Struthio camelus: one gene and its partners. The protein of the gene in region 4 purifies or fractionates together with the protein of the main gene of each other region. This does not show direct contact. Links are inferred from orthologs where the notes say so. Each region holds a gene or a part of one and is shown on either strand. Other genes may lie near its edges.

The links.
Region 1: the proteins of MED4 (region 4) and MED9 purify together in Homo sapiens (affinity purification with mass spectrometry; 10 studies listed by BioGRID and IntAct, with this or other methods). This does not show direct contact. The link is inferred for Struthio camelus from reciprocal best matches to the Homo sapiens genes MED4 and MED9.
Region 2: the proteins of MED4 (region 4) and ARHGEF7 purify together in Homo sapiens (affinity purification with mass spectrometry; 3 studies listed by BioGRID and IntAct, with this or other methods). This does not show direct contact. The link is inferred for Struthio camelus from reciprocal best matches to the Homo sapiens genes MED4 and ARHGEF7.
Region 3: the proteins of MED4 (region 4) and POLR2J purify together in Homo sapiens (affinity purification with mass spectrometry; 3 studies listed by BioGRID and IntAct, with this or other methods). This does not show direct contact. The link is inferred for Struthio camelus from reciprocal best matches to the Homo sapiens genes MED4 and POLR2J.

Annotation. Positions count from the first base shown.
Region 1 is NC_090956.1:3,992,644-4,000,615, reverse strand, and holds the start of MED9 (mediator of RNA polymerase II transcription subunit 9), read left to right. Parts: upstream 1-4,958; coding exon 4,959-5,131; intron 5,132-7,972.
Region 2 is NC_090942.1:158,295,174-158,302,048, forward strand, and holds the start of ARHGEF7 (rho guanine nucleotide exchange factor 7), read right to left. Parts: upstream 3,013-6,875; 5' UTR 2,800-3,012; coding exon 2,635-2,799; intron 1-2,634. UniProt on the Homo sapiens protein: Acts as a RAC1 guanine nucleotide exchange factor (GEF) and can induce membrane ruffling. Functions in cell migration, attachment and cell spreading. Promotes targeting of RAC1 to focal adhesions. May function as a positive regulator of apoptosis.
Region 3 is NC_090957.1:14,405,070-14,412,083, forward strand, and holds POLR2J (DNA-directed RNA polymerase II subunit RPB11-a), read right to left. Parts: upstream 2,549-7,014; 5' UTR 2,452-2,548; coding exon 2,399-2,451; intron 2,236-2,398; coding exon 2,146-2,235; intron 2,000-2,145; coding exon 1,825-1,999; intron 1,061-1,824; coding exon 1,025-1,060; 3' UTR 505-1,024; downstream 1-504. Other genes in the region: LRWD1 (leucine-rich repeat and WD repeat-containing protein 1), read left to right, coding at 227-367; ras GTPase-activating protein 4, read right to left, coding at 2,952-3,070, 3,201-3,265, 3,336-3,456, 3,545-3,680, 3,766-3,903, 4,155-4,324, 4,399-4,543, 4,791-4,928 and 5 more. UniProt on the Homo sapiens protein: Core component of RNA polymerase II (Pol II), a DNA-dependent RNA polymerase which synthesizes mRNA precursors and many functional non-coding RNAs using the four ribonucleoside triphosphates as substrates.
Region 4 is NC_090942.1:192,114,148-192,121,245, reverse strand, and holds the start of MED4 (mediator of RNA polymerase II transcription subunit 4), read left to right. Parts: upstream 1-4,097; 5' UTR 4,098-4,231; coding exon 4,232-4,326; intron 4,327-6,266; coding exon 6,267-6,333; intron 6,334-6,677; coding exon 6,678-6,848; intron 6,849-7,098. UniProt on the Homo sapiens protein: Component of the Mediator complex, a coactivator involved in the regulated transcription of nearly all RNA polymerase II-dependent genes.

The DNA of each region.
Region 1 (7,972 bases), on a different chromosome or scaffold from region 4:
GCGCACTCCGGCAGCCACGCGGGCACGTGCCCGGGGACACACGTGTGGCCGCGCACACCTCTGCACGCGCCCGGGGCCGCCCAGCCATGCGCCGTCTGCTCCATCACCTTCCCAGCGCCCGGAGAGCGTCGGCGGAGCAAGCCTCGAGCCGGCCGGCTGCTGAGCGCCGCTGCAGGCTCTCATGATGTTGCTTCCCGGCCCCGACTGCAGGCCGAGGGCACCAAACGCCTCCGCTTCAGGGGTTTTGTAGCTAGAGGCAAATATTTGCAAATAACAGCAGTGCCATTGCTGAGCCAAGCCCGCAGCGGGTGCAAGCCAGGCTGTCACACGGATGCGGCTCCTTTTGCTTCCTGAACGGGTCACCCCTCTTCCCCAGGAGCCAGGCAGGGATCGCGACCCAGCTGATGCCTGGGGTAAACTGAGGCAAGGCAGCGCGGTGGCCGGCTGTGTGCTCGGGGCCGCCGAGCCTGCCGTGCCCGGGGACTCCGGCTGTCGGACCGTGTGTTTTCCTGGATCTGCTTTTCCGTGTAGCCGACCTTGCGTAAGAAGCCCTCGGCCCTCGCCGTGTCCTCGGAGCTGGGCCTGCCGCCCGGGCCGGCCCTGCGGCGCGCAGTGACCGTCACGCGATGGCTGGACACTCCCCGCGCCCCTGACTCGTCCCCGCTCTGTCCCCAGCCTCCTGCGGCAGGGCGCTGGCCTTCACCGCCAGGCCGCCGACCCGCTGCCCCGGCGGGCAGCCCAGAGCCGCGAGGAGCTTGGCCCAAACCACTTGTGCCGCCTCTTTTCCAGGCTCTTCTCCGGTGCCTGACTCTCTGCAGCTAAAACACTGCATCTTCCGGCTTTGCACCCTGCCCAGCAGCCCTGCTCCTGCCTCCGCGCGCCCGCATCTACGAGCCGCGGTGGAAAGGGTCTCGCAGAGCGGCTTCAGCAAACCTCCCTCCCGAGGGACGCCAGGGCCCCTCAGATGGACCCTGACCGACGGCAGCGCTCGAGGCAGGGCACAGCCCGCGACAGCATCTCTGGCCGGGCAAAATTAGGGGGATCGGGGCCAGGCGGCTCAGCAGCCACAGGATCACAGCCACGACCTAGCGGAAAGGGCCAGCGCTCCTGACCGCAACGCCGGGCAGGTTTCCCAGAGGCCGGCAGCAGCTGTAACGTTTTGCTCCTATCGCCCGGTGCCAGGCGGCTGCAACCCTGGCAGCACCTTCCTGACTTCGCAGCGCAGCCCTCTGCCCCTGGCAATTTCTGAATCGCTGAGACTTATCCCAAAGCAGCAGCTTAACAAAGCCTTAAACAGAAAATTCAGGCAGACAATGGGGTGCTGGGGCAGGAGGAAGAGATAAAGTTCAACCTGGTGATAGCCATATAGTAAAAAATGATAACAGAGCTGATGACAACGGCCCAACAAACTCCAGATGGCCCGGCAGCGAGAAGTAGAGCCAGGTGAAGTGCCAAGCCATCAATATATACATGTCAAGTCATTGTAACAAAACCTCGGGGAGATGCACAGGCACCTGACTGACGCTGAATTAAGTAGCTGATGGTAAATCCAAAAGAAGTTACCTTTGGAAGCAGGGAAAGGGTGCAATTTGTATAGAAATGACAGAAAGAATAATATTGATATTGGGAAGAAAACAGGCAACAACAAAAGAGGCTTCAGATAAGGTTTATTTGACCAGCTGGTTTTCGGGAAAATAGGCTAATCAAATGTTTGGGCAAGAAATGAACATACACAGTGGTTTAAGATCTGGAAGATCAGATGGCTTGGAGACATTTTCACATTTCATGAACCAATGCCTGGCAGGTGAGTTATACAAAGAGCCACAATCAAATTCATACAGAAGAAAAAAATAGGACAATCACTTGCACTTCAGCTTTATTACCAAATCTAGGGGGAAATTATCCTTTTCATCCACCGCTAAGTATCTTTGTCTATGCTCTAGATGCTTTGCTACGAGTTTTCATAGGCTGCTCACTCAAACCTCTCTGCTGAGGATCTGAAAGCAGGTGAAAACCCCACGGGAAACGAGGGAGTCCAGCTCCCACCGCAGACCAACGCCGGCTCCACGTGGGCAGAACAGCAGGAAGGCCAGACCGAGACAGAGGGCCCACTGGGACTTCAGTGATGTGGATGGTAAAGGCCATGTTTTTGGCAGCATCTATCTATCGGGAACAGCATTGCAAGAACATAACCCAAACGACCAAATAGTCGCTCCGTGGGGACAAGGGTCTCACAGTTTGGAGCTCCACAAGGACTGCTGAGAATTCAGACACACCAGCACTCCTCCACGGCTGAGGTCAAAACTTGTCTCCATGCCTAAAAATCTGTGTTCCCTTCTCTCCCAGACCTATCGGCTGGGTCTGACCTCTTCCTGCAGTCCTCACCAGGGACGCACACCCATCAGTCACCGCATGGGCAAGAGGCCTTGCGCAGGCTGGCACTCAAATCGTGCCAACACAGTGTCACCCAATTAATTCACCAATATCTTCAGGGATGGGGGAGCCAGTGCGACCACCTCCCTACTGCAAAACCGCTTCGCTCTCCCCCTTACTCGCCACAAGACACGACAAGGCCCCGAGGACGGAGATCAGTCACCCAAGGGAGGCAGAGAAGCCGCGCAGGGCTGGGTTCCCACGAGAAAGAGAAGGTGACAGGCAAGGGCAGGGGCTAAAGGCAACAAGATAAAGCTGCATGCTACAGCTGCTGCGAGAACACACAAACAAAAACGGGAACTGAACAGCACAAAGAAATGCTGATTGACAGCGCTTTAGTTCCGGCTGAAGGTGTCGGCATGTCGTCACCTGCTCTAACGACTGCCTGACTCACCACCAAACGCAGAGGGCCAGCGGCCTCGCAATTAGCCACGCTCCTCCGTGAGTCAGGGGGGAAGAGTTAAAACCAGCAGCACAGCACAGAGGAAGGAGACCCCCCCCCCCAGAGCCTCAGCCAAATCTCGCTGTAATAGCCCATACACCAATAGGCAGCAATGAACCTCTGTGCCCAGTGCAGTGCGAAAGACGCAGCATCCTGTACCTCCTGCTTGGCTCTTGCTGTCAGAGCCAAGGACGGTAAAACGCAGCGCCCTTCCTGCAGGGATCTGCTCTACAGGGCCAGGGCCCTTAGCTCCCCGCGGCTCCTTCGCTCGTTCCAGCATCAGCACCCAAACCGGGATCTATTCTTGATGGCAGGAACAAAGTGAGCGATTGCATCTGCTATATTTAGAGCAAACAGTCAATACTCCACGTGTATGAACGGTTACCAGCATTCTGATTTGATATATAAATAGCTTCTGTTTGCTTTTAGAAATAAATTGGTTTAAGAAAGAAAATTGCTTTCCTAGTCATCCTCAGCCCATAACTGATGAGCACGAGGGCCTGTTTCAAATGAAAAATGAAATTATACATTTTTCCTAAGCCAGTTCAGGAAGGAAAACTCATGATTGCGGCTGCTGTTATTAGGGCTGTAATTCTTCATGTTGATGTAGAGGTATAAAAGCAGTTTGCAGCAGCTTGATGAGGCAAATTCCACATCCCTTTGATGCACCATCCCAGATCTCACGGGTTCAAGACCCACGTGCCATCTCAAGCCTCCTCTTTCACCCACAGGTCCATCACACGAGACCCCAGTTTGTTCTCCCTCTACCAATCCTGGCACCAGACTTCTGGCTCTAGCTCAGACTCCTTAATTTAAGCCCATTTTAACCAAACCAGGAGGAAAGCCTATGAGAGTTTGCTCGTGACGATGCAGCCATTGCCCCAGAGGCTAAACTTTAATTCAGTCTTTGAGAAACAGGGGCTTGCAGGGGTGTAGGCACCAGGATCTCAAATATTCAAGCTTTCTTTCCCTCCAACTGATTGTAACCTGTGCTTCCTCCGTAAGGCACAAAGTCCAGTAGCATCAAAGTACCATTAAGGCATTACAAGACCGCATCCCAGCCACTCAACCGCCTCGACAACTTGTCTCCGGTTAAATAAAGGTCAAGCCAGGGATACCAAGTAATGAAAAGCAGTGCAAAATGCTAGCATTAGTGCAAAAAGCTAGCCAGACACAGCCAAACCCTGCTGTCCTGAGGACTGCAATAGTTATTGGTTCTATGGAGAATGATGCAATTTTTGCTCTAAGAATTAATACAAAAGAGGGGGATGTGCACAGGGATTCAGGAAATCAGACTGCTCTCGCTAAGGGGCTGGGAGCTGCCCCTGGGGGCAGTGCAGCATGCTGTTATTGGGACCCCCTCCTGCTCTTCGCCCTTGGGTTACGGGATCCCCCACTCTGTCCTTCCTCCAGCTTCCCACCTTCTGTGCAGAGCTGGGTCCTGCGCAGGACAACGCACCCCCAGCTGGGAGAGAACAGCTCAGCTCCAGCCTTCTCCTGCTGGACCACCCCGTATCACCCGCCTCGCAGGACGGCCAGGCGCGCAGCAGCCCACAGCCCGTCTCAGTGACGGTGCGGCAAAGCTGCTGCTCCAGCCCCACCCCCAGCCTCAGATCCCAGGCCCCAGCTGCAAGTTCAGGCCCAGACCCACACCGCAAGTCAGGCCCAGACCCAGGCCTGAGACCTCAGCCCTGGCCCCAGACCCAGGCCCTGGCCGCAAGTTTAGGCCCCGGCCCCAAGTTCAGACCCAGGCCCCGGCCCTGGCCCAGGGAAGAGCCTCAAGTTCAGGCCCCGGCCCCGGCCCCGGCCCCAGGGAGAGCCCTAGGTTCAGGCCCCGGCCCCGGCCCCGGCCCCGGCCCCGGCCCCGGCCCCGGCCCCGGCCCCGGCCCCGGCCCCGGCCCCGGGAAGAGCCCCACGCTCAGGCCTCGGCCGCGGGCCCGGGCTCACACCGCAGCTCAGGTTCAACCGCCCGCCCCGGGGCCGCGCATGCGCAGTGTGGGCAGGGGGCGGGGCGGGGCAGGCGGAGCCCCGCCCCGTGACGTCACGCGCGGCGCCGGCGGCGCGGGCCGGGGCCGGGGTCGCCATGGCCTCGGGGGGGGGCACCGGCCGCGCCGCCGAGGAGCCGCCGCCGGCCGAGCCGCCGGCCGAGCCGAAACCGCCGCTGCCGCTGCCGCCGCCGCTGCTGCCGCCGCCGCCGCCGCCGCCCGGGCAGGAGGAGTTCTCCTTCCTCCCGCTCGTCCACGACATCATCAAATGGTAACGGCGGGCCCGCCACCCCGCGTGCCACCGGGCCCGGTCCGTCACCGGCGCCTCGTCACGGGGCCCGGTCCGTGTCACCGGCGCCTTTTCATGGGGCCCTGGGCCTGGTCCGTGTCACCGGCCCTCGTGACGGGGGTCCGGTCCGTGTCACCGGCCCCTCGTCGTGGGACTCTGGGCCTGGTCCGTGTCACCGGCCCTCGTGACGGGGCCCAGTCCGTGTCACCGGCCCCTCGTCGTGGAACTCTGGGCCCGCTCCGTGTCACCGGCCCCTCGTCACGGGGCCCAGTCCGTGTCACCGGCCCCTCGTCGTGGGGCCCGGTCCGTGTCACCGGCGCCTTTTCATGGGGCCCTGGGCCTGGTCCGTGTCACCGGCCCTCGTCACGGGGGTCCGGTCCGTGTCACCGGCGCCTTTTCACGGGGCCCTGGGCCTGGTCCGTGTCACCAGCCCTCGTCACGGGGGCCGGTCCGTGTCACCGGCGCCTTTTCGTGGGGCCCAGTCTGTGTCACCAGCCCCTCGTCACAGGGCCCTGGGCCTGGTCCGTGTCACCGGCCCTCGTGACGGGGGTCCGGTCCGTGTCACCGGCCCTCGTCGTGGGGGCTCTGGGCCTGCTCCGTGTCACCGGCCCCTCGTCGTGGGGCCCTGGGCCCGGTCCGTGTCACCGGCCCCTCGTCATGGGGGCCCAGGCCTGGTCCATCACTGGGCACCTCATGGTGGGTGCACTGGGCCCAGTCCGTGCCACCAGCCCCCTCGTCCCGGGGGTCTGATCCGTGTCACCAAGCCCTCGTCATGGGGCCCCGGGCCCCGTCCGTGTCACCGGCTCCTCGTCCCGGGGGCCGGTCCGTGTCACCGGCACTTCGTCCCGGGGGCCTGGTCTGTGTCACCGACCCCTCGTCCTGGGAGTCTGGTCCGTGTCACCAGCCCCCTCATCATGGGGGCCTGGTCCATGTCACCAGCCCCTCGTCCTGGGGCCCTGGGCCCGCTCCGTGTCACCAGCCCCTCGTCACGGGGTCCGGGCCTGCTCCATGTCACCAGTCCCTCGTCATGGGGGCCCGGGCCTGGTCCATCACTGGGCACCTTATGGTGGGTGCACTGGGCCTGGTCCGTGTCACCGGCCCCCTTGTCCTGGGGGACCAGCCCTGGTCCGTGTCACCGGCCCCCTGGTCATGGGGGTCCGGTCCGTGTCACCGGCCCCCTGGTCTCGAGGGTCTGGTCCGTATCACCAACCCCTTCGTCCCGGGGGTCCGGGCCCGATCCGTGTCACCGACCCTTCGTCCCGGGGGTCCGGCCCTGGTCCATGCCACTGGCCCCCTGGTCATGGGGGTCCGGTCCGTGTCACCGAGCCCCTCGTCCCGGGGATCTGGGCCCAGTCTGTGTCACCAGCCCCTTGTCATGGGGGCCTGGCCCTGGTCCATCACTGAGCACCTCATGGTGGGTGCACTGGGCCCGGTCCATGTCACCGGCCCCTCGTCCCGGGGGTCCGGTCCGTGTCACCGGCGCCTCGTCCCGGGGGTCTGCTCCATGTCACCGACCCCTCATCACAGCAGCCCGGTCCGTGTCACCGGACCCCTCGTCACGGGGTCCGGGGCCGGTCCGTGTCACCAGCCCCTCGTCCTGGGGCCCCGGGCCTGGTCCGTGTCACCAGTCCCTCGTCATGGGGGCCTGGGCCTGGTCCATCACTGGGCACCTCATGGTGGGTGCACTGGGCCCGGTCCGTGTCACCAGCCCCCTCGTCATGGGGGTCTGGGCCCGGTCTGTGTCACCAAGCCCTCGTCACAGGGCCCAGGCCCAGTCTATGTCACCGGCGCCTCGTCACAGGGCCCTGGGCCCGATCCATGTCACTGGCACCTCGTCATGGGGGTCCGGGCCTGGTCCATCACTGGGCACCTTATGGTGGATGCACCGGGCCCGGGCCTGTCACCACATGCCTCGTGGTGGGTACACTGGGCCTGGTCTTGTCATCAGGCACCCCTCATCATGGGGGCAACTGGGTCTGGGCCTGTCACCGGGCACCTCATTGCAGGGGCAGCCCTGCACCAGGCCTGCTCCCCATTCCTCTGCCCAGGTGCCTTATCCCTGCTCCGGCCCTTCTCCGTCTTCCCGATTGCGGCCTCCTCCTGCGCGCCCTGGACAGGGAGCAGGGCAGTGGGACCTTCCTTCCCCACAGTGATACTCTTTGACCGCCCCCAGCGTTTCCTTTGCTGCAGACCCCCTTGTTCTCCTGACTGGGGTTGCTGGGGAAGGTGTTACAGGGAGGTGGCGTAGTCCCACACGCGGCTCCGTGGTGAGCCACGCCAGTACATGGCAGCGTACGGATGATCCAGGCGATGCAGGTTATTCTGATGGCCCAGGTACGCTGCCCCGTTGTTATACACCCTCGAGCAGAGAGCATTGGACTGGTGCTGTGTTATTGCCCCAAACTGCTCTACTGTTTGGCTGATAACAGCCTCAGAAAGTACAGGCAGTCCCAGCACAGAAATGCAGTCCATTTCTAGGGTGTTGTAAAGAGGAAGAAGGCTTTTACAGTGGTGGAGGTTGAATTGTTCTCTTCCTGGTTCAAGATCAGTTTTAGGGGTAAAAGGTACTTGTACATGGGTCCTGAGGGGTGTGGTGTTCCCAGGAGGTTTCTGCCCCAGGGCAATAACCCCTTTAGAGATGTCTATCTGAATTCCTGGTGGGAGCATGGCTCTCTGCCGTGAACGTCCGACCAAGGCCAGCTCCTTGTTCTCACCTAGGCACTTGGTAGGGATGAGTTTCCTGCTGATATTTCACTTGGTATCAAGCGTATGTGAAAGATGAGAGAGGTTCACCTTTAAGCATTTTGCAGTCTGAAAGCCAAG
Region 2 (6,875 bases), about 34 Mb from region 4:
CTGGGTGCGACGCCCTGGCCCAAGCGGGGCTAGCTCCGGGAAGCTCGGAGGCCACGAAGCTCCAGCTTTCCTCCCACTGCTCGGCTGAAGCAAGTCACCTTCCCGCCCTGGCGGCCACCTCAGCCCACATGCAAACCCCTTCCTCTCTGCACCACCAGGTCCATTAAGGCATGGACAGACAGACCCCACTGAGCCCCCAGCGCAGACCCACTGACAGCTCCTTGCACACCATACCAGGAGTAAGGTAGGCTGGGGGCAACCATGTCCCTGCACAAACCCTGTGGGCTCGCGTCAGGGAGCGACCCCTACCTGAACATCAAAGACATCAGTCACCCTGATGTTTAAAAAAAAAGTGAAATGTACATTAACAAACTCATTTACATTAACAAAGCCATATATATACCATACTCAGGCATGCACACTGAGTTGGAAAACACTATTCTAACACTATTCGGTTCACTTATTTCCATCAGGCTCTCTTTAATTATTTTGTCATACAGTTACATCCTGTCTCCCAAGTTGAGTTTGGGCTCCCATTTCACTAGGCTTGGCATCTGCACGCAGGGAAATACTTTTTCTGCCCCAAAGTTTGGAGTCCAAAGCACTTTCGAGACTTACTCGAGGCTGCGCACACAGAGGACTGGTAAGATGTTGTGCTGAGACTTAACTGTGTGAAGACTTGGTGCTAACCAGACGAGAGCGAGCCTGGGGGAAAGGGAGCCGCGAGAGACCCTGCCTTTGCAGCTGGGGACTCCTGCTCACGTAGGTAGCCGGGATGGCTGAGCCTGCAGCCCCACGTCCTCCCTGCTGCCAGATGTGTCACCCCGGGCAGCCGAAAAAGACATTTCACCTGCTCCGGAGCTGCAGTGTGCAGGGTACTGAATGAAACGGAGAGCAGTTTGCACCTTCCCTACCCGAGCTGTGAGCGCCCCAGGAGCAAACACATGCCTCTTCCAGCTCTCTTATACAAATAGCAACTCCTGGGCAGAGCAGTGAGCAGGGGACAGCAGCGGCTTTGGGCGTCCCAGCTGGCTCCACCTGTCACCATGCTGGAGCCCGAGTCACCTACGCTCACACCACGGCCGATACGTCGTGTCCGCTCCTATCGCTTGGATCCATCGACAACACCCTGAGCTCCCCAGTGGTTTCTCTATCCCTGTATTGTCTCCAAGTTAGCTTGCAAATTTTGGGGGGCAGGAACGGCCTACTCAACCCAGGGTAGCAGGACCCCCATCCTAGGCCAGGATCTCTGGGCCACAGTACACCACAACACAAGAACCACTTCAGCATGTAGCAAATTCAAGAACTAAAGGGAGATAACCAAAGCCAGTGCCGTGTCCAATGCCCTATTTAGCTCAACGTACCAGTTTTCAACTTTGTGGGTCAGCGGGCTACTTTTAAAAGAGCCACCAAAGGTAATGAAAACCTACTGTCAGCAGGCTTAAATGTCTGTAGTGGCAAGGTCTGCAAGCTGAAAAAGTTCAAAAATGCAGTATTATTTTCAGGCAAGGAATTTTCCTGTCAACGTAGCAGATGACCTTCATTTATCTTCTCTTCACTACCTTGCGTGGTTCAAAAGGAAAGTTTTGCCACTACACATAGTTCAAGCGCATATGTTACAGAAAAAAAAAATATATATATAACCATAATGTATATTACATTGTTGAACGCTTCCTCCAGCATGCAGAATGAAACACTGGGACACTGAGCCCAGGTGAGACAACTGCATCATTCCAAATCTCAAGGTACAGTATCCAAAAATCACAATTCACTACATCTGAACTACAAAAAAAAAGAATTATGTATGCATACACAATACATGAAAGTTACCTGACGCACTATATTTGTTCAAACACAACACAGAATAAAACTGTGTGTGGGTTTTTTGGTTTTTTTTTTCCCCCAAATCTCAAAAAGATGAGATTTCTCCACAGGCTACAAAGCACTAAAAAGACCTAAAACAATTCCGAAACAGCCCACACCAAAACTAAGCGTAGCATCACAAAACCTCCTTCAAACGTTGAAAGGGATGAGCTGAATCACAGCCCCAAGCGAGGTGAGACACTGACTATACCAGCAGTTGGGGAGATAAGTTTTCAGCCGGCTTTACAGCATGGCAGAAAAGGTCCAAATCTCAAAAACGCACGTTCAAATTGAAGAGTGAGGACTATATACTGAAGTTGTTGGGTTTTTTTTTTTTTGCTTTTTAGGGTTTTTTGGTTTTGTTTGGGGTTTTTTTTGTTTGCTTTTTTTTTGCTTTTCTTTCTCTCCGTGTGAAACACTTGCAACTCCGCGGCTCTCAAGGGAAGGAAGCCCTTTCCGGGGAGGCTGTGTGCACCCCTAGCTGCCCCTCTCCCTCGGCTCTACCCGGCACCGCCGCGGGCACCGGGGCTGCGCGCGGGGCAGCGGCGCAGCGCGGCCGCCCGGGGCTGAGCCTTCCTCGCCCTCCTCCTCCTCCTCCTGCCCGCCAGGACTTTGTCCTGAGCCGCCGCCGCCCCGACGCGGTACCCCGCGGCCCGGCAGGTCTCCCGGCGAGGGGAGAGACCGAGGCCGGGGCCGGGGCCGGGGCGGGCGCGGCCGCACAAAGGGCGTCGCGGGGGCGAGCGAGCGAGCGGGCGGACGGGGGGCACTTACTTTCTCGATGGTGCCGGGGAGCAGGCGGTCCAGCAGCCTGCACAGCACCACGCCGTCTTTCAGAGACGACTGCAAAAATCCCTCCGGGTCCGAGATGGTCTTTTTGGGCGACTCCAGCACGCCCAGGGTGATCAGCCACGTAACGGTCTGCTCCGCGGAATTCATGGCCGCGGCCAGGAGGAGCCCGGCTCCGGCGAGCAGCGGAGGGCGAGGCGGAGGCAGCGCACCGGCGAGGACACCCCTTTTTTATTATTAAATCTTTTTTTTTTTTTTGGATGCGTTCCCCCCCCCTCTCACCCCCAACCTCTTTTTTTTTTTTTTTTCGGGCCGGGGCTTCAGGCGGAGGCCGCGGCGGCCGGCGCTGCCCCCGCCTCCCCCATGTGAATGCAGATGACGACGCCCCTCGCCCGGCCCGGCCCCACCGCCGCCGCCAGACGCCCGCCAAGCCGCAGTGCCGCCCCCCGCCGCCGCCCCATGACATCACCGGCGGCGGCGGAGGCGGCGGCGGGGGGCGGCGCGCCGGGGGCGGGGGCGGCAGGCAGGCAGGCAGGCAGGCAGGGGGGCGCGGGCCGGGCTCCGCCGCCGCCCCGGCCCCAGCTCCGGCCCCGGCCCCCGGGGGGCGGTCGGCGCTGCCCCCTAGCGGGGGGCGCCCCGCGCCGCCGCCGCTGTTGCCGCGCCCGAGCGGGGCCCGGTGTGGGCAGCCCGTTAGAAGGAGGGGAAAAGTCACCGGCTCCCCCTTGTCGGGCGAACGGTCCAGACAAAAAGAGCAAAAAAAAAAAAAAAAAAGCGGTTTTCATCATAGGCCGAGGGCGAGCGTTTTGGTAAAATCTCCTTCTAGGAACGCTTGGCAGCGTCTCCTTGGCCCGGCCGGTCCCGTTTGCACATCCTTCGCCTCTGCTTGCAGTTTGCACGAGCGGCGACGCCAGTTAGGAGGAGGGCGCGCGGCGGCTGAAGCGCTGGCTCGCCGCGCCGCGCTCCTTTCCAGCCATCATGTCTGCGGCTTGCCATATGTTTCACCGGTTCACTCTCGGCGAGTTTCCACAATCCTAATTTATGGCAGCGCTTGAGAAGCCAACGTAAAGACTTAGAAATATCGGGAAGGTTAATCTGAGAGAACTGGCTAAAGTATCTGTGTCCTTTCTGGTTTTACTCCAGAGAAACCCGTTCCTTAAGACTTTGCTCAGATGAGATCCTATTTGAAACGGGCGTTTTAGTATGTTCAGATCAGCCGTGCGCTGCCCAGGGGAGGCAGAGCCTCCCTGCCGCCATGAGCATCGCCGCGGTGGCACGTGCGCGGCGAGACGTGATGCAGCAGCAGCAGCCGGGCTCCCGCTTCCCCCTGCTCGGGGTGCATCCGCATCCGACCCACTCGAGGTGCAGAACAATGCTAGATAGTATATTTTCAATACACAACTGTTTCCTCTCTCGTATGCAAGGTATTACCAGCTGTTATATACTGCTGCAGGTTGTTTCCAACTTGGCTTTTATGCGGACCAGGAAGTAGCTGTACTGGCTTGGGGGGAGCTCTCCTGGTTCCCTATCCCGTCTCTGACTGTGCGCCGGCTCTAGCTGCTTCTCCAAAAGACATAGGTGCCTTTGGATTTGAAAAGAGATGATCTGACTCCAACATTAAATCTCCTAATCCATAATATCAGCAGCTTTCCTTAAACTTTGACACATAAGGTGTAATAGCGCTTCCAAAAGTTGATAGCATTAATCATTTGAAACTTTTGCTTTCCTGGTTGCCCCTTCACTATACATTTTGAGCAAAAGCTTCCTAGCAGAGAGTTGTTCGGCTACCAGTAAAAGGACAGCAACAACACAGCTATTCGTTGCAGTCCCTTGAGCGGTGTGGATGGCCTAACTGGAACTCTTCAAACTTGCCAACGGCAGAGGAAGAGTTCTCAAATCTTCAGAGGAAAAAACTGCCCAAAAGATTTTAGGAGTATGCCCAAGTCTTCCTGGATTCCTTTCTTCTCAACCTTTCCCTGACAACGTATCTAATGCAAACCATCCATACTCTTTGCACTGCTGGCTTGTTTTGTCTCCTGCGAGCCTCAGTCTTGCCTGCTTACATGGCAGGCTCCTAGGACTGACCGCTATTTTGCATCTGCATCGTCTAGCAAGGGGAAACCTATACTGTGCTGGGAGGTTTCAGGTAATGCAAATGATGAAACATATGATTATTACTAATTTTTGCTCCTTTCTCATTTGTTTCACCATTCAAGCTGTTCTGATTATTTTATGTCTAGAATTTGGTTCCTTTTTTTCTTCAAAATAAATTGTAAGCTGATAGTAAATTTTATTTAAGCACTCATTAGGGTAATATTTAAGCAATCTAAAAACCTCCTGAAGGCATCAAAATGTATGGTTTTAACCGCCTTTTTCTATAAACCATTTTTGAAATATGTACAAAACTGAAAAAAAAATCATTTTGGTATTGAATTCATACATGCAGGACAGAAATGGACAACATATAGAAGCCTGCAGGTGTTAAATATCTTTGCACAAGCAAGAGTATTACATTTTGGTTTGGGGGAGACTTAATACCTGGGTATTACTAACTGAATTAGATTGGGCAGAGATCTAGTAGATTTTAGAACACATCATTTTCAGTAAATAAAGATTTGACAATCTCTTTGGACTTTCACAAGCTTTTGTCATACACTTACAAGAAGTTACTAAGGAAACTAGGTAGTCATGAGGTAGAAGGTAAATTCTGCTATGGATTGGAAAGTGGTTGAAAGGCAAGACAGGCAGCAGAAATAAACTGTCAGTTCTCAGTCTGACAAAAAACTAACACTAGCAGTATTTCTTGTGTTCTGTAGTATAAACTGAGTTGGCAGTAGTATTTGCCACTAATTGAAAGTGATCAAGTGGAAATTGTACTTCTGCATTTTTATTTGGTCTTTTAGCCCATGAGCAATGTTTTTTCAGAGGAGGGAGAGAAGAAAGAGAGCAAGGAAATGGCAGGCGAAGAAAGCTTCTGCCTCTTCTTGGATGCTCACTTCCCATTTTTCATTTTCAGTTATTAATACCTCGTCTGTCTGTTTTTGGAGCAGCAATGAGGTGCTTTGGCCAGATATGCCACCCTCTGCTTTCCTCGTGCCAAAACAAGGTCGTGACTTTGATGGGCAGGAGACTAATTAACTATCAGTCCGGTTTAAACAGAAATTGCCTTGGCAGTCAGTAATTAGCCACATAGGGGTCATACTGGATCAATTACTGATCGGGGATTCCTGTGCAATAAGTAGTTATCCCCATAGTTTGAACCTAGGGAAGTTTATATCCCTCTGAGAAAAACCTCGTCCCAACAAAGCTTTTGTATTAAGCTCGGAGATATATTTCCACGTGTGAAGATGGTGTTTGTGAAGTCAGGAAGCAGCTGCCTGAGCAGCATGGTACCAGCGGAGGTAGAAATATGGAGCAGAGCAAGGTTGTACATGGATAAAACTATGTGGTCACATTCACTGGGTTCCCGCTGCAAACAAGAGGCTGACAAAGTGAGAGGAGGCTCTTTGAGAGCCACCAGCCTGTCTCTCCATCTCCTCCCAAAGCGGCCCCTTAGTAACTAAAGGAGCACAGGAACCTGCAGCAGGCACAGAGGCAACCAGCCAACCTGAGCTACTCTTCTCCCAAAACATCCATCTTAGCCAGGGGGCTAAGGTTACACTTTCCTCTAGCCTAAGCTGTGCCTTGTTTTCTAGTGAGCGCGTGGAAGAGGGAGAGGTGAAGGACGTAATAGAAGAAGTGGATCAATCAAATAAAATAAACATGAAAGGAAAACCAGATAGGAGAGACGAGTGGAAAAAGAAGACTAGTGAGGCAATTATTTAATTGTCTGTGAAGTGCCAGAGTGTTTTAATAGGCAGATGCAAAAAGCTCTGGTCCCGAGAAGCTTTTCAACCAAGCATAAATAAACATAAAATGAATGGTACCTTACAGAGTGTGGCTAAAGTGCTGATGCAGCAGCACCAACGTGGGACTTTCCGAGTAGGTATTTGACATTTGGGCGCAGGCAGCATGAGGCTCAGGTACCTGGAAACTGCGTGCTCAGCTCTGGGGCAGTGCTATGGGTGGCCAAGCAGCATGGAGAGGCTTAGGCAGCTGTGACGGGGTTCACACGTGCGCTAAATGCAGAGATGCCCAAGCCTGCCCCTATAAGAAAATACAATGGAAAAAAGTGCCTCTGCACATCTCTCTTTTATGGGGGCTGCAGGCACCTGGCCTAAGGATGGAGA
Region 3 (7,014 bases), on a different chromosome or scaffold from region 4:
AAAGGTGTATGTCCTGCCATGAAAAAGGGGAAGGACTCTTCCAGTCAGCTTCCCCAGGTCGGTAGAGATGTAGCACTGTGCTGGAAGCAGATTCCACAGCAAACGAATTGTCAAACTAGGACGTGCAGTAGTTAGTATCCTCCAAGTTACAGACGCAATACTGTTCCTTTTGTCTTTGTGTAGAAAGAAAGAAAAAAAACCCACAAAAACTCTGTTCTCTTCCTAGATTCTCAAATGGCCAGAGCTTCGAGCAAATGGGGAGCAGCTGACTGAAGTCCTAATAAACAATGTGATAACAGACCCCACCTTCACTTACCTTGTTGCTCTAACTAGTGTGAACATAACAGCCATTTGGAAGAAGTCATAGTTACTTGTAATGGAAAGTTTCATTCCCGTGCTTTGAAATAGTGCAGTATTAGTGACTGTTACCCATGTAACCATATTTTCTAGACCAGCTATTATCATGCAAGAGAAAAAGGGAAGAGTTTGTTACAACTCCTCAAGTCATTGTAAACATCCAGTTTCTTTTACTGTAAGTTTTCACAATTTGTGCATTTGTTTTATAGAACTGACACTTAATAAAACAAAATACCAGTTCAGTTGGCAGTGCAAAGACTTTTTGAAAAACATATACACACACACACACACATATATATATATAGGATTGGGGCTGTGCTAAGAGAGTTCATCCACCCCTATCACTCAGGAACTTCTCACACTGGAAGTACAGTCACTAGGCTAACATACACCCCTGCCAGCAGCCTAGTACAAGTATTTGCCTTATGGTTCCAATTAGAAAAGTAAAAAGTGATTTTAATGAAGTATCCATCAAATCAAACAAGACTTTAATCCTCTTGGCATAGGACCCAAAAAAGCCCCAAACTATTGCGACTACTTTCAAGAATTAAACGACGAGTGGGACAAGTAGAAAATCTTTGCCATGAATGACGGTTCAGATAAAGCATTCAACTAATAGCCATATCACTCTATACCAGAGGTACAGTCCATTCTAAACATGATAATTTTATTCGATTCCTTCTTGTTTGTCTTTAATGGCAACCTGTAAAACAAACAAAAAAAAAATACAGACACTAAGACAAAAAATATCACCGAGATGGAAGAAGTTATTTTAAACATAGGTATCAGTCTTCTGCGAAGCACAAGAACAACTGCGAAACAGTGGAAATCTCTGCGCCACATGCTAAATAATATTTAAAGTAAAATCAAAACATACTGGCAAAAGAATTCCTAGTGCACTGTTACCTTTTATGAGCATATCAAAGAATATTACACATATACTACGTTATTCAAAGCTCTCCCTGCTTTTGTCTGACATACTTTTCAGCTAGATTAAATCTAAAAAAGATCTGAGGCTAAAAAAATAGAATTGTACATTAGAGCACAATTAACCAAAAAAGTATTAAAAACAAATACTGTCCCTTGAAAGAGTTTTGGCAGAAGGGGGGGGAAAAAAAAAAAGGGGACTTGGAAGAACTAGAGAATTGTTTTCCATTCCAATAAAACTGGGAGAAATCCAATACTGGACAACTAGGAAAGACAAAGCACCCATTTAACTCTTGTAGGGTATGCCAGCGCACCCCCCCCCCCCCCGCCCTCTCCCCCCTTGCCCCGTAAGGGCGGCCAGACGTCACCATCCCTTGACAGGAGCTGTTTGTGCTATGAGCTGCTGCACGTAGCTTTGATGAATTCATTGCCTAAAAATGGCAGCAGTTCTAACATACACTACCCCTTCCATTTAACTTTCAAGCAGGTGAGCTTTCTGCAAGTAATAAATAGAATAAAAGCTAAAGTAAACAAGCTTACCCTGAACCTCTCCTCCAGGAGGGAGAGTTCACTGATCAAGTCTGTGATGGCGTTGGTGAAAGCTTCCTGGGGACTGTAATCCGGCGTGGTCTGAACGCGGATGATGATTTTGTGTTCCAGCGGGTGCGGCACTTTGTAGCCCGCAAACAACACCTGCGGGTCTTTCAGTAGCTGCCTGGAAGGGGAGCAGCAGTGGGCAGCCATGCTTTGCTGCCAGCACCCGCTAGACCCGCCGCAGCCCCCGACCGGGCTGAGCGCCGCGAGCGTCTCCGGCCGCCCCAACGGCCGCCCCCCCCCCCCCCCCGGCCGCGGCCCACTCACGACTTGATGATGTTGCCCAGCGTGTGGTCCTCCTTGTTGATGGTGAAGAGGCAGGCGTTGGGCACCTTCGTGTCCTTGTTGATGGTGATCCTGCGCGCACACCCCACACACACCCCCGTCAACGCCGGCGCCGCCCCAACGCGGAGCCCGCCCGGGCCGGGCCGCGGGGCACCGGGCTCCCCCTCCCGGGCTTCCCTTCGCGGAGCCGCCCTCGCCCGGCCCCCGGGACCCCCCTCCCGCCGCCGCCGCTCACTTCTTCTCGCCCTCGAAGAGCAGGAAGGACTCGAAGGCCGGAGGCGCGTTCATCCCGCCGCCGCCGCCGCCGCTCGCCCCGCCGTTGCCACAGCGCCCAGCGCGTCACTTCCGCCCGCCGCCGGCTCCCGCTTCCGGCGGCGCCGCCTCCAGCGCCCCGCAGGGCTCCGCGCAGCCGCCGCGGTGACGTCGGCGGCAGCGCCATCAGTGACGTCGGCGGCGGTGCCCCCAGCAGCGCCGCCAGCCGCGGTAGCGCCCGCGGAACCGCCAGCGATGCCCCCCCCCCCCCCCGGGCCACCAGCCATGCCAGATGGCGTCACCAGTGATGTCACCATCAGCGCCCTTAGTGCTGCCATCAGCGATGGCACCACGGCCACCCGCCCTGTCCTCAGTCCTCCCCCCCCCCCCCGGGCCACCCCGCCGCCCCACAGCGCCGAGGAAGGACGACGGGGCGCAGGGTGCGAGGAGCCTTTATTGCCTTGGCGGTGGCGGCGCGGGGCGGGGAGGCCCCGCGTGCCCCTCAGTGGCGGCGTCCCCGGGCGCGGGGGGGCCCCTCAGGTCTGCAGCTCCAGGAGGGGGCCGGGGGCGGGCGCGGGGTGCGCCCGGCAGTGGCAGCCCTCGAGGTCCCCCAGCACGGCCAGGAGCCGGCCCAGCCCCTCGGGCAGCGGCCCCCCTGTGGAGGGGGACGAGCAGAGTGAGGCCGGCGGCCCCCTGAAGCACCCCTTCCCCTGGCACCCACCCCCCACAGGTTGTTGGGGGGGGGTCCCTCCCTCCCAAAATGGCCGCCCCACCACCCACGCTACCTTCAGGGCGGCTCCAGGGTCCATTGGGGGTTTCCTGGGCCTCCAGCAGCTCCCGGTACCTCTCCCTGAAGCGAGAGGGATGAAGCCACAAGCAGTGGGTGGCCCCCCAGCCCCCCACCCTGGCCCCCGCCGCACCTCATGGGCTCCCGCAGGCCGCAGAGGTGGCGGAAGATGAGCTGCGCCTCCATGTCTGGCTCCAGCGGGTCGCTCCACTCCTGCAGGGTGACGCCGTGGCGGCTGGCGTCGCAGCCCAGCCCTAGGGGACAAACCCGCCGCCGCTCGGGCCCCGCCGCTCCCCAGCGGGGAACCCGGCCGGCCCCCGTCCCCTGCCCGCCCCGCCATACCCGTCTTGTCCTTCTGGTGACAGCAACTCCACTTGTCCCCTCTGAAGACGCCGGGGTGGTAGGAGCAGAGCATCTCGGGGTTGTTGGCGCAGGCTTTGCGCAGGGCCGAGAGCCACTGGTTCAGCTCGTTGACGCACTGCAGGACGGGACGGGGCAGTGATTGGGGGGGGGGGGGGGGGCCTATGTGCACGGCGGCCCCGGCCCCGGCCCCCCACGCCCACCTTGCACTGCAGGTACACCGTCTCCTGCTGCCCTTCCTCGTCCACGTAGACGATCTGCATCACGTGGGAGCTGCCGAAGCTCTTCTCCTCCACCTTCTCAGCTGCCCGGATGTTGGACAGTGCGATGGAGCTGCTCTTCTGTCACCAGGGATGGAGGGAAAAGTGGGGCTCAGCACCCTCCCTGCAGCCTCTGGAGACACCTGAGAGCCACCAAGGACTGGAGGGAGGGAGCTATGGGGCACTGCCACGTCGCCATCGCCAGCCTTGACCCACCATGCAATGCAGAGCCCAGCACCCCAGGGTGGCACACGTCCCCAAGATGGGGCCCATGGCTCTGCCAGCACCTTTCCCATGCAACGCCAGCCCTACTGAGACACGTCCCTCCATACCTTGGAGTTGGGGGTCTTGGCAAAGCTGAGGGCCTCACTGGTGAGGGAGAAGTGCAGTTTCTTGGAAGAGGAGGAGAGCAGCGGCCCCTTGCCCCTGGTTTTGTGGACGAAGAGTGGGCCCTCCTTGACAACCAGCGTCTGCAGGGTGAGGGCGTTCTGCAAGTCCAGCTCTGTGGGGAACAGCCCCGTGCTTGTCAGGGGGAGCCCGCAGGGCTGCGCCCGTCCCTACAGCCACCTCCCTCACCTTCCTTCTCCTCGATGCCCACCAGCTCGGTGATGAAGTCCTTCATCCGGGTGACGCCACGCTGCAGCGCGGGCTGCAGTGGGGCCAGCCAGGCCTCCTTGGCCCGGCCTGCTGCCGCCTCCATGTTCCCCACGATCTGGATGGCCTGGAGCCATGAGGGACAGCGGAGTCAGAGCTGCAGGCACCACACAAGACCCCAGGTGTCCTGGCCCTTCCTCACCAGCCAGCCCCGCAAGGACATGGCGGCTGGGCACTCAGCAAACCCCAGGAGGGCCACGCAGCACCCTGGCCAGGAGGACACAGCACCAGGACCCTAGCCTTCCACCCCTCCCCAAACAGGCCCAGGTGACCCAGAGCAGGTGCCAGGGACCCTTTCTGTGTCCCCATCCCACCTTGGCCAGGAGAAGCAGCGTGCGGCTGGTGCGGGAGTCGGCGTGTTTCTCCCGGAGGTAGAAGAGTTTGGGGGTCATGATGGCTGGTGAGAAGAAGCGGAGGCAGAGGAAGCTGGTGACGGCGATGAACTTCACGTTCTGCAGCCACGCAGGGGGCACAGGACGCACATGAGGGCACAAGGCATACAACATGTTCACGAGGGCATGAGCCACGTGTGAAGGCACAACACACGAGGGCTGACATTCCCCGGGCAGGGCACATGCTGATTTATTCCCAGGGCTCCTTCACTGGTGCCTCGGGGAGGCCGTGGCAGCTGCCTCCACGGCACGAGCAGGAATCCCATATTTATGTGGGATGTGACTGCGAATAGGGTGGGAGTGAAATTGTGGTGACGAGGGCCAAAAGAGCCTCACCTTGCAAAGATGAGCCCCATCTTCCCCAGGGCCTCCAAGCTATGGGGGGCGATGCCTCCAGTCCCCCATCCCCTGGGAATCTCCAAGGGAAATTCCCCAATTTTCAAATAAACTGAAAGCAGAAAGTCTCATGATTCTGAGCCACTGCTGTGGGGCCTCCTGGGAGCTGCAGTTCGGTGCTGCGTGCCCTGCTTTCCCCATGCACCGTTCCCAGTGGGAAGCACCCAACCCCTGCCGAAGAGGGGAACCCTGGGGTCCCGTAGCCCATGCCAAGCCTTAGCCAAGGCTCCTGGCGCAGAGCGCGGCCACCCCCGAGGGAGAGCAGGACCCCGAATCATCCATCATCCCCCCAAGGGCCTTCCCCTCTTGCCCACCTCGTGCTGGTGCTCAGGGAAGCGCTCCCTGACGCGCCGGAAGAGCTGGCGGAAAGCAGCGCGGACGATGGCGGGGCAGGCCGGGGCCGACTTGGCGATGGCGGCCAGGAGCTCCCCCAGGTAGGACTGGAGGTGCTGGCAGCTCTGCTCGATCACCTCGCTCTCCGTCTGCACGCGGTGCAGCCCCGAGCACCTGTCGACACAGCCTGCCGTCAGCCCCGCCGGGGGCTGGGGGGCCCTCGGGAGATTGCCGTTTCCCCCTCCGTCCGCATCCCGCAGCGCTGCCCCTTACCCAACGTCTTTAATCTCCACCTTGCTGGGGTCCAGCTCCACGTACTTCTTCTCCTCAAACACCCGGTTGATGGTGGGCCCGAGGACAGCGTGCAGGTACTGCATCCCGGCCACCTGGCAAGAGACAGAGCAGGGGACACAGTGCTGGGGACACCACTGCCACTCTGCCAGCGGCACCCGCTACAGACACCCCAAATCCCCCTGCTAAGAGCCGCCCAGGGTTACTTTGATTGTTTCTTTCTGTGCAGCCTCCAGCCACCTCCTGGCACATCCCCGCCCAGCAACGAGCATCCCTGCAGGCCAGGGCCAGGGATCCCTGCGGGCATCCCTCCTGCCCAGAGCCAACCCCCCTCCCAGGGCGGGGGGTGACACAGGCACCAGCAGGGGCAGCATGGAGCTGGGACAACCTGAAAATATTGGGGTTCACCCCAAAGCTCCCAGCAGGGGCCCGCCGCAGGCAGGGTGCAGCCCGGCGGGCCAGCAGGGGGGCAGAGCACGTTCCCATGCCGGGGGCAGCGCGCAGCACCTTGAGGAAGGACTCCATCGACTTGGAGGCCAGGGAGTTGCTCCGGAAGAGAGTGTTGGGCTCGCCTGCAAAACACGACAGGGAGGGTCGCATGTCAGGGACAGCGACAGGCAGGTGTCACCCACCCTGCGGCCACCCCGCACCAGCCCCAGCTCCCAGCCTTACACGGCTTTGCCAGCTCCAGCTCAAAGAGCAGATCCAGGAACTCCTTGACCAGCCCCTGGCCCAGGAAGAGCTTGACCAGGTTGATGGCCACCTCCTGCCGACACTCGGCCGTGGTGGTTTCATCAAGGAGGGTGATCAGGTGCACTTTGCCATCCTGGTGGGGACAAGGGATGAAGACATGATGGCACTAGGGAAGCAGATTACCCCCCCCCCCCTCTGGGGAGGAGCTGACGTGTTTGGGACACGTGGGGCACACTCGGCCAGGGGCAATGCTCACCTGGGGCCCCGACTTCACCTCCTGGCACAGCAGCTGGACCAAGGGCTGGTAGCAGCTGGAGGGCAGCACCGTCTCGTCCCGCAGCCGCACCTGCAGCTGCAGAGATCCCAGGTTGCCTCTGCGACAGGACAAGTGTGGGATGGAGAGGCACCTCCCAGAGCAGGAGGCGTCCCAACA
Region 4 (7,098 bases):
TAAAGTGCTACCCAACATATGTAAGCATGGAAAAAAAAAGATGTCTTTTAAAATAGCAATAAGATACAGATGATTTTTCAGAGGCATTTAAAAATATTAATGGTGTAAAGACAGCTTGACAAACACGGGATGATTATTCTCTTCTCCACAGGCCAAAGTACAACGGTGGCATCCTTCCAAACAGCGCTCAAGATGTTTGATTTCTATTTCAGTTGATATTTGACAGAAAGGACTTTATTTTTACATTATCGAGGGGAAGTGGATAGGAGTACTTTTTCTGTTGTTTTTCCTACTTGCTTCCCTTGATTACCCTACTGCCTTTCTACTTGTACTGTTTGAAGTGTTTTATTATCCATGGTCAGACACCTGAGGGCCTTCAGGATTTAAGTTATCTTCAATAGTCCATTGTTATTTTAAGGTGTGGTATCCAAACATCTACCAGCTAAACACTTGATGGTTAGTGTCTGCAACATATAAATAACAAGCTAGATGAAGAGCACAGTGGCCTGGAAAAGACGCAGACTGAAATTAAAACATATATCTGCTCTGAAGTTCTCTGTGGTTCAACATCTAAGTTTTAAGACAAACTTCTACTTCATGATTAGCTAAGGTAATAAGATGAGGAATTAGGAAATCCCAATGGTAGCCTGAAAAAAAAAGGCTTTGCATCAGATGAATCCTACGCTTGAATTTCACTTAACTAGAAATAAGAGTAGCATCCTGCTTTCCTTCCTCTGGCCACACATTCCCTTGTGTCTAGTGATCTAGCGATGGTTAGCCTTGAAGTCAGTTGCTCCAATGAGCTCATCTGACAGAAGACAAATCCACCAAAAAATATGAAGCATTTTCCATTGAACTGGTTTGCCCAGCTGTTTCATTCCGCAGTCTCACTTGTACAGGATCTCATGTAAGAGGGAGGAAGACAGAATACATGGCTGAAGAGAGATGGAGAAGACTGCACTTTTCAGCATTAGCCTCCAGTCATACTGTATTAGGTGCACCCTAAAACTGTACTCAGAAGGTATGGTTCCACAAGTTGAGGTTAGGTGACCTAACACTTATGTGGGGAACACCCCCTCTTCCTCTTCTCCTCTCTGCTCCTGACTGTTAAGACCCTCCACGATCAGATTTCACTCATTAACCCAGAAGGAAATGAACCCAACAAAAACATTAGGTATTTTTCTGTCTTGTTATTAAGTAGCTCATGGAAGCATATGATGATGAAGGATGTAAGGGAGGGCAACCATCTGCGATTGGGAGATGAGGAGTGAGCAACATATCTGCTTTTCAGAGCTGGTGAACTCTTAGATCAGATCAGCTCTTCATAGATCTGCAGCTGTAGAAATCAGTTTGCTCAGCAGATCATCACCGAAAGGTTGATTCTAGAACAGATAAAACTCAGTTGAGCAGGATGAAGCAAGCTATTTTTGCTTGTGCTAACAGATTCTTAATACTGTGATCAATGTGCCATTAAAAAGACAATCTGAAATCAAAGAGAATCTGAAACGTCTCATAATCTCACTGTGAATGGAAAGATATAGTCACGGCTGCACAACTTAAAATGTTCTCAGACTACTAAAAGCAAATTAGGCAACAATGCTTAGTTATTCAGGAAGGGCATAGGCTTTTAAGGCGTATATCTGGCTCAAAACCAACCCATCTATGACAAAGTTTACCCAGGGGAAAGAAAACCAAAAGCACTGAAGAACCGAGGAAACAGAGGTTCTGTTGCTTTGTCCGGGTAAGTGTTTCAAAAGTCAATTCAGCAAATCAGCCACTCAATCTTACCCCAATGGGCCCATGAGCCAAGTTTGGGGCACAAGCCTATTTGACCCAGCCTCTCCCTTAGTCCTAAAGGAGACGACCGCTCCGACATAGTCTGAAGGATTTTCTGTGTCTCTGCACAGCCAGGCATTCCCTGAGGCCTTGAGGCTCATCCTATCCTCCTACACAGAAGTAGGAGCATCAATTTGGACAAATAAGTCTCTGCCAAGGGGCCTGCACTTCACAGCCACTGCTGCATCTCCAGGGGAATGAGTGGGGATGGACTCCAGACTTTATAAGAAGCAGTCAGATGTCCATGCTGCATAGATGAAGGTCAGCAGTTTGTGAAGGGGAAAGAAGAGGGCAGCTGCTGCACTGAAAGATTGTGGGGTATTGGCATGGTTGGGTGGGAAAAGCACTGTTGTCAAAAGGAACGAGAGAGCAGCTCCTTGGACATAAGGAGTGGGAGGCAAAGATCAGCCTCCAGCAACCTCCTACAACCGATATTTACCCTTTGGGCTGTTAAGTTTGGGTATCCCGCTGATGCCATAAATTTTTAACTAGTGAAACTAGTAGTACAGCCCTGAAATATTTTAGAAGTACTCCAATACTTCTGACCAATTCAGATGTTAAAAAATGAATGTGAGGGAAGAAAATAATTCAGCAGAGGGATTGTTTTATTTTCAACTCTAGAGGATTGCTTTATTTTCCAAAGTTGTTATTTCTGTTTACACACCCATGGAGACATTGTAACAAATCAGTGAATTGGAGGCACAACCAGACAGCTTCACTGATTACATCTTTTCTTGAACAAAATCAGGGAAATAATACTGTATTTTTGAAAAAAAAAAAAGGGCAAGCAAAAAAGTGTAGAACTATTTGATGAGATTTTCTCTGCTCCATAGTTTAAAGAGAGTTCCCAAACTATCTACAGATTGGAACTTTGAATGCTGTTGTATACTGTAAATGAATTTTAAGAAACTCCTGTTGGCAGACTTTTCTTCTTCTTGGGGTTGCCAAATCTCATTACTTTATTACAAATCCCGTAATGTTCAATTGATTTCTTAAACCACAATTCAAAGAATCATTGATTAACGAGCATCTTGCCTTTCCTTTTTTTTTTTTAATAAGTAAATTTCTCAGGGACAAACTTATTGCAGTAGGTAAAAAGATAATCAGAGTAAACACCAGAGCAGTCAGAGATGTTATCATCTATCTACTACTTTCTCTAATCAAGAGTGATGAGAATCACTGTTTGCTAGGGGTTTTTGCAGCTGCCTGCTGACAACAGAAGATGGCGGAGTCTGGGGACTCCACGTTTTTCAGTGGAAGTGCTCACAGAATTATAAACCTCGGTCCCTGATTAGCTTTCTCTCTGTGCTCTCCGATCTTGCCCTCCACCTTAGCTTCAGCCTCTATCTCTTCACATTACTGCCAGTTTCATGAATTTCAGAAATTCCACTGGCTTCACTGTGACCCCACCCAGAGCTAGGGGTCGGTTTGCAGTTATCAGACCATATACAGCAACATTTAAAAATAAATGGTATTTTTAAAATATAGCTCGATTGTCTGCAGGTTCAAGGGCAGGGTTTGCATCTGTTAACTGCCCCACCAGCTGATCGCTGCATGCAGCACCCTGTAATTCATGCAAAGCCACCTTTAGGTTGCACCTAGAGGTCTGCACATGCAAGTCATGCTTCTGGTTGGCCATTGTGAGGCCTCGTTGCTTGCCTGACACAAAACCCAGGTAGGAGCTCAGGGTTCTGCCCGATTTAAAGCTTAGGGTTTTGTTACGTTTTCGTTATCACTTAGTTTTCTTAAGTCATTAGGAAAACGCGATTCCTGCCTCCAACTAAAAAAAGCACCTAAGGGATTTTTGGGTGTCAGAGAGCATAGAGTTAACAAAGTTATGACGCTGTTCAATGGCAAGCCCTCTCTCTGGGTTCGTTTTCCCCGTCTGCAGGGTACATCTGAGTCTCACCGAGAGGCTCTTCGGTCAAAACCCGGGGACTGGAAACGCATGTAAAACAACAAGTCCTGACCCTTGAGTAACGGCCCAGCTCCAGCAGGGGGTCGTTTACAAACACTGCCTCGGGGGCAGACGGGGGAGACGAGACCACCTCTCCTTCACACCCACACGCCCTTCCCAGCCAGCCCCGCTGAACTCCTTCCCCCCTCCCGGCCCTTCCTCAGCGCCCGCCTCAGCGCCAGCGCCGCCCTCCCGCCTCGCCTCACGGCAGCCGTTACCCACCCCTCAGCCCCGCCCCGCCCGCCGCGCTTGGGGGAGGAGGGGGAGGGGGAAGGAACCGCCCTCCCCACCCTTCCCCGCACTGCGCATGCGCTGGCCGGGGAGGCGGTGGGGGTGGGGCGGCTGCAGTTCGCACCTCCGCTGAGGGGGGCGCTGCCGCCTCGCCTAGCGCGGGCCTGGTGCCGCCGCCGGTTCTCGCTCGGGTCCGCAGCCGGGATCATGATGGCGGCGGCGACGGCCGGGGGAGGCGGGGACCGAAGCAGCACCCGGGACCGGCTCCTGGCGGCGCTGGAGGATCTCGAGCTCCTGGCCAGGTACCGCGCTCCCGCCGCGCGCCGGCTGAGACGGCGCCAAGCTCGGGCGGCGGCCGATGGGCCAGAGGGTGCTCGGCGCTGTACGGGCGCGGAGCCTCGGACGGCGCCGGCGAGCCGAAGCCGGGGCGGGTGCCGCCGGGGGCTGAGGGGGCCCGGGAGGGGGGAGATCAGCCCGACCCCAACGCCGGGGCGGCACGGGGCCCTGCGTTTTCCTGCTGCCGCCGCCCCGGCACCGCCTCCAGGCCGGCTCCTGGGGCAGCGGGGTGCGTGCTGCGTCTGCTGCAGGGCCCCTGCCCCGCCGGGGCGCCGCCGGAGACGCTTCCTCGTATTCCGTGTTCTCAGAGCAGAACGGGCAGCTTCCTTATTCTTCGGCTTGCCTTCCTTTCTTGGTTGTCACCTGCGTTTCCTGTTGAGACAGTCTCCCCACCCCCCCTTCACAGAAGAGGTTTGAAGCGTTTTATTATTCACTGAAAAACGGCGCATATGTCAGAGCTCTGTAGATGGTATTGCACGACTTAAGCCGTTCTGGTCATTACCAGTTCAACTCTGTCAAAGCAGGCTGTAAAGCGTGTCCTTGGAGTGATGCAAATGCTCAAGTAGGTAGCCCGCGCTCTTCAGGCTGGACTGCAGCTCCCCATCCAAGCTGTCCACCATGTTGTGGGAGTCCCAGCTAGCAGTGCAGTGAAACTGGTTGCTAATTATCTTCTTCCTCGCAAGGAGAGCAGGAGCTTAGGAAAACTTTTTCACAGGGAGCAATCTAAAGTGTTCATGTGGCTGGTTCGCTCTTTCTGATTACCCCAGGTAGGACAAGGACAGTATACTGTCCAGTTGCTCTTCTTCTTTCTAGTTAGGTTTTATTTTCAGTTTTAGATTTTGTTGTGACTTTTGGGTTGCTGGAATGGGGGAGAACATCTGCTGTTTTAGGAAAAAACATTTTGCTCTTTATCTAAATGTTTACTGATTTTTAGGGGGACTAAGATTCCATCATAATGAATCCAGAGCATCCCTCAGCAATATTTTTGTGAATCTTCCTGTTAATCAGCAAAGTGTTGAAGCACCATGGCATTAGACCTTTCACAGTCATGATATTGCCTTGGTGGTAGGAGCAAAGGAGCCTGCTTCAGATAAACTTATACATGCACAGCACTGAACTTCAGCCCATGTCATTAGAAGCCAAACATATTTGCCCCATTTACACCAAGTGCCTTTTTGCATCATGGTGTTGTTGTTTAGCAAGTCCCTTTAGAGGTTACTGACAGGTTTTCATAATGGTGGCAAAGTAAACGGGTATATGGAGGCACAATCAAGAGGTTTAGTTGAGATGCCCTTCTAACCTAGTCCCAGAATATTATTAGTTTATTCATATTTTTGTATGTATTTGATATACAGCTGATATACCATTGTGAGAATACTTGTTTTTATAATAATAATAGTTTCACAACAAACTCTTTAAATGTTTGAAAGCGTAGGTTTAATTGCTCTAAACCCAAGTGTGAAACTTGCTCTGTTGTAAAAACAGAGAAAAAGTAGAGAAGTAAAATAATGATAACAACTTATACTTTCATGTTCTCTTGCAATAAACAAGGGTGATAAAACTAGAGCACGAATGTATTTCATTGTCTTTTTTCTTCTCCCAGCTTCTATTTATGTCTCTTTCAGTTTGGCACGTTTCTTGCTCATGTGCATTTGTGCTCGCTTTGTGAGCTCAAAGGAGAAAAAATAATTATGTGAATAGTCTCATGATTTGAGCACATTTTTTTCTTTCTAAGTTGAGAAATCCCTGACACAGCTATGCTACAAAACTACAAAATGCTCAAGCATGTGAGTACTTTTGTAATGCTGTCAGTACTCTGAAAATTTTGGGATGACTTAGTCTGATTTGTAAATAGCATAGAAAAAATAGCATAGCAAGTTGTATAAATACACAGTTTTCTTTTCAGAGAACTAATTGAAATACTGGCAATTTCAAGAAACCAGAAGCTTCCGCAACCAGGAGAAGAAAGCCAGGTAAACTAACTTTCTTAACAGTATTTCTTTGTGTGGTCAGATGTTCTACTTTACTTCTTTCTTTTTTTTTTCCTCTCTTGTCCCTGCGTATGTTTAGACTAATGATGATGATGAGTTTTTGGCCACACTAAAATGATATTCCTGGTCCTTGTGGTGCTTTTTTGTTTATTTTCTTTACTGCATGCTTCATAGGTTGTTTCTGCAAACAGAGCGAGAAGTTTGTTTCATTTGGCATGCAAACAGAAATACTCATGTAGATATCAGTTGTTCTTCCTTGCTGCATAATTGTGGGTATGCTGTTACTCTGACTAAATTAAAAGTTCTATGAAACTCTTGTCTGACAGATCCTGGAGCTGCTGATTCAGAGGGATGGAGAGTTTCAAGAGCTAATGAAGCTGGCAGTTGATCAGGGGAAAATTCATCATGAAATGCAGCTTTTAGAAAAGGTAGTAGAAAAGAGGGATAGTGATATTCAGCAGCTGCAGAAGCAACTAAAAGAAGCAGAGCACATACTGGTAAGTTCAAAGGTGCTGTGCTTGCTTTTAAGCACCTACTTCTGAAAAAGGTGGTTCTGGAGAAAACAGTGTTGTGTTAGTTTGAAAAGATTCAATATTTAAAACTTCACAACCGCTTAGCGGAGTTTTTCTTTTCAGTAGGCAAACGCTTTTTAGTTATCGGGGCATTCAGTTTTGTTTTACAATGTTAATTTTCTTCCAAAGCTAGTTTACTTTTATATATTTTGAAAATGTTCCCTGAATGGTTTAT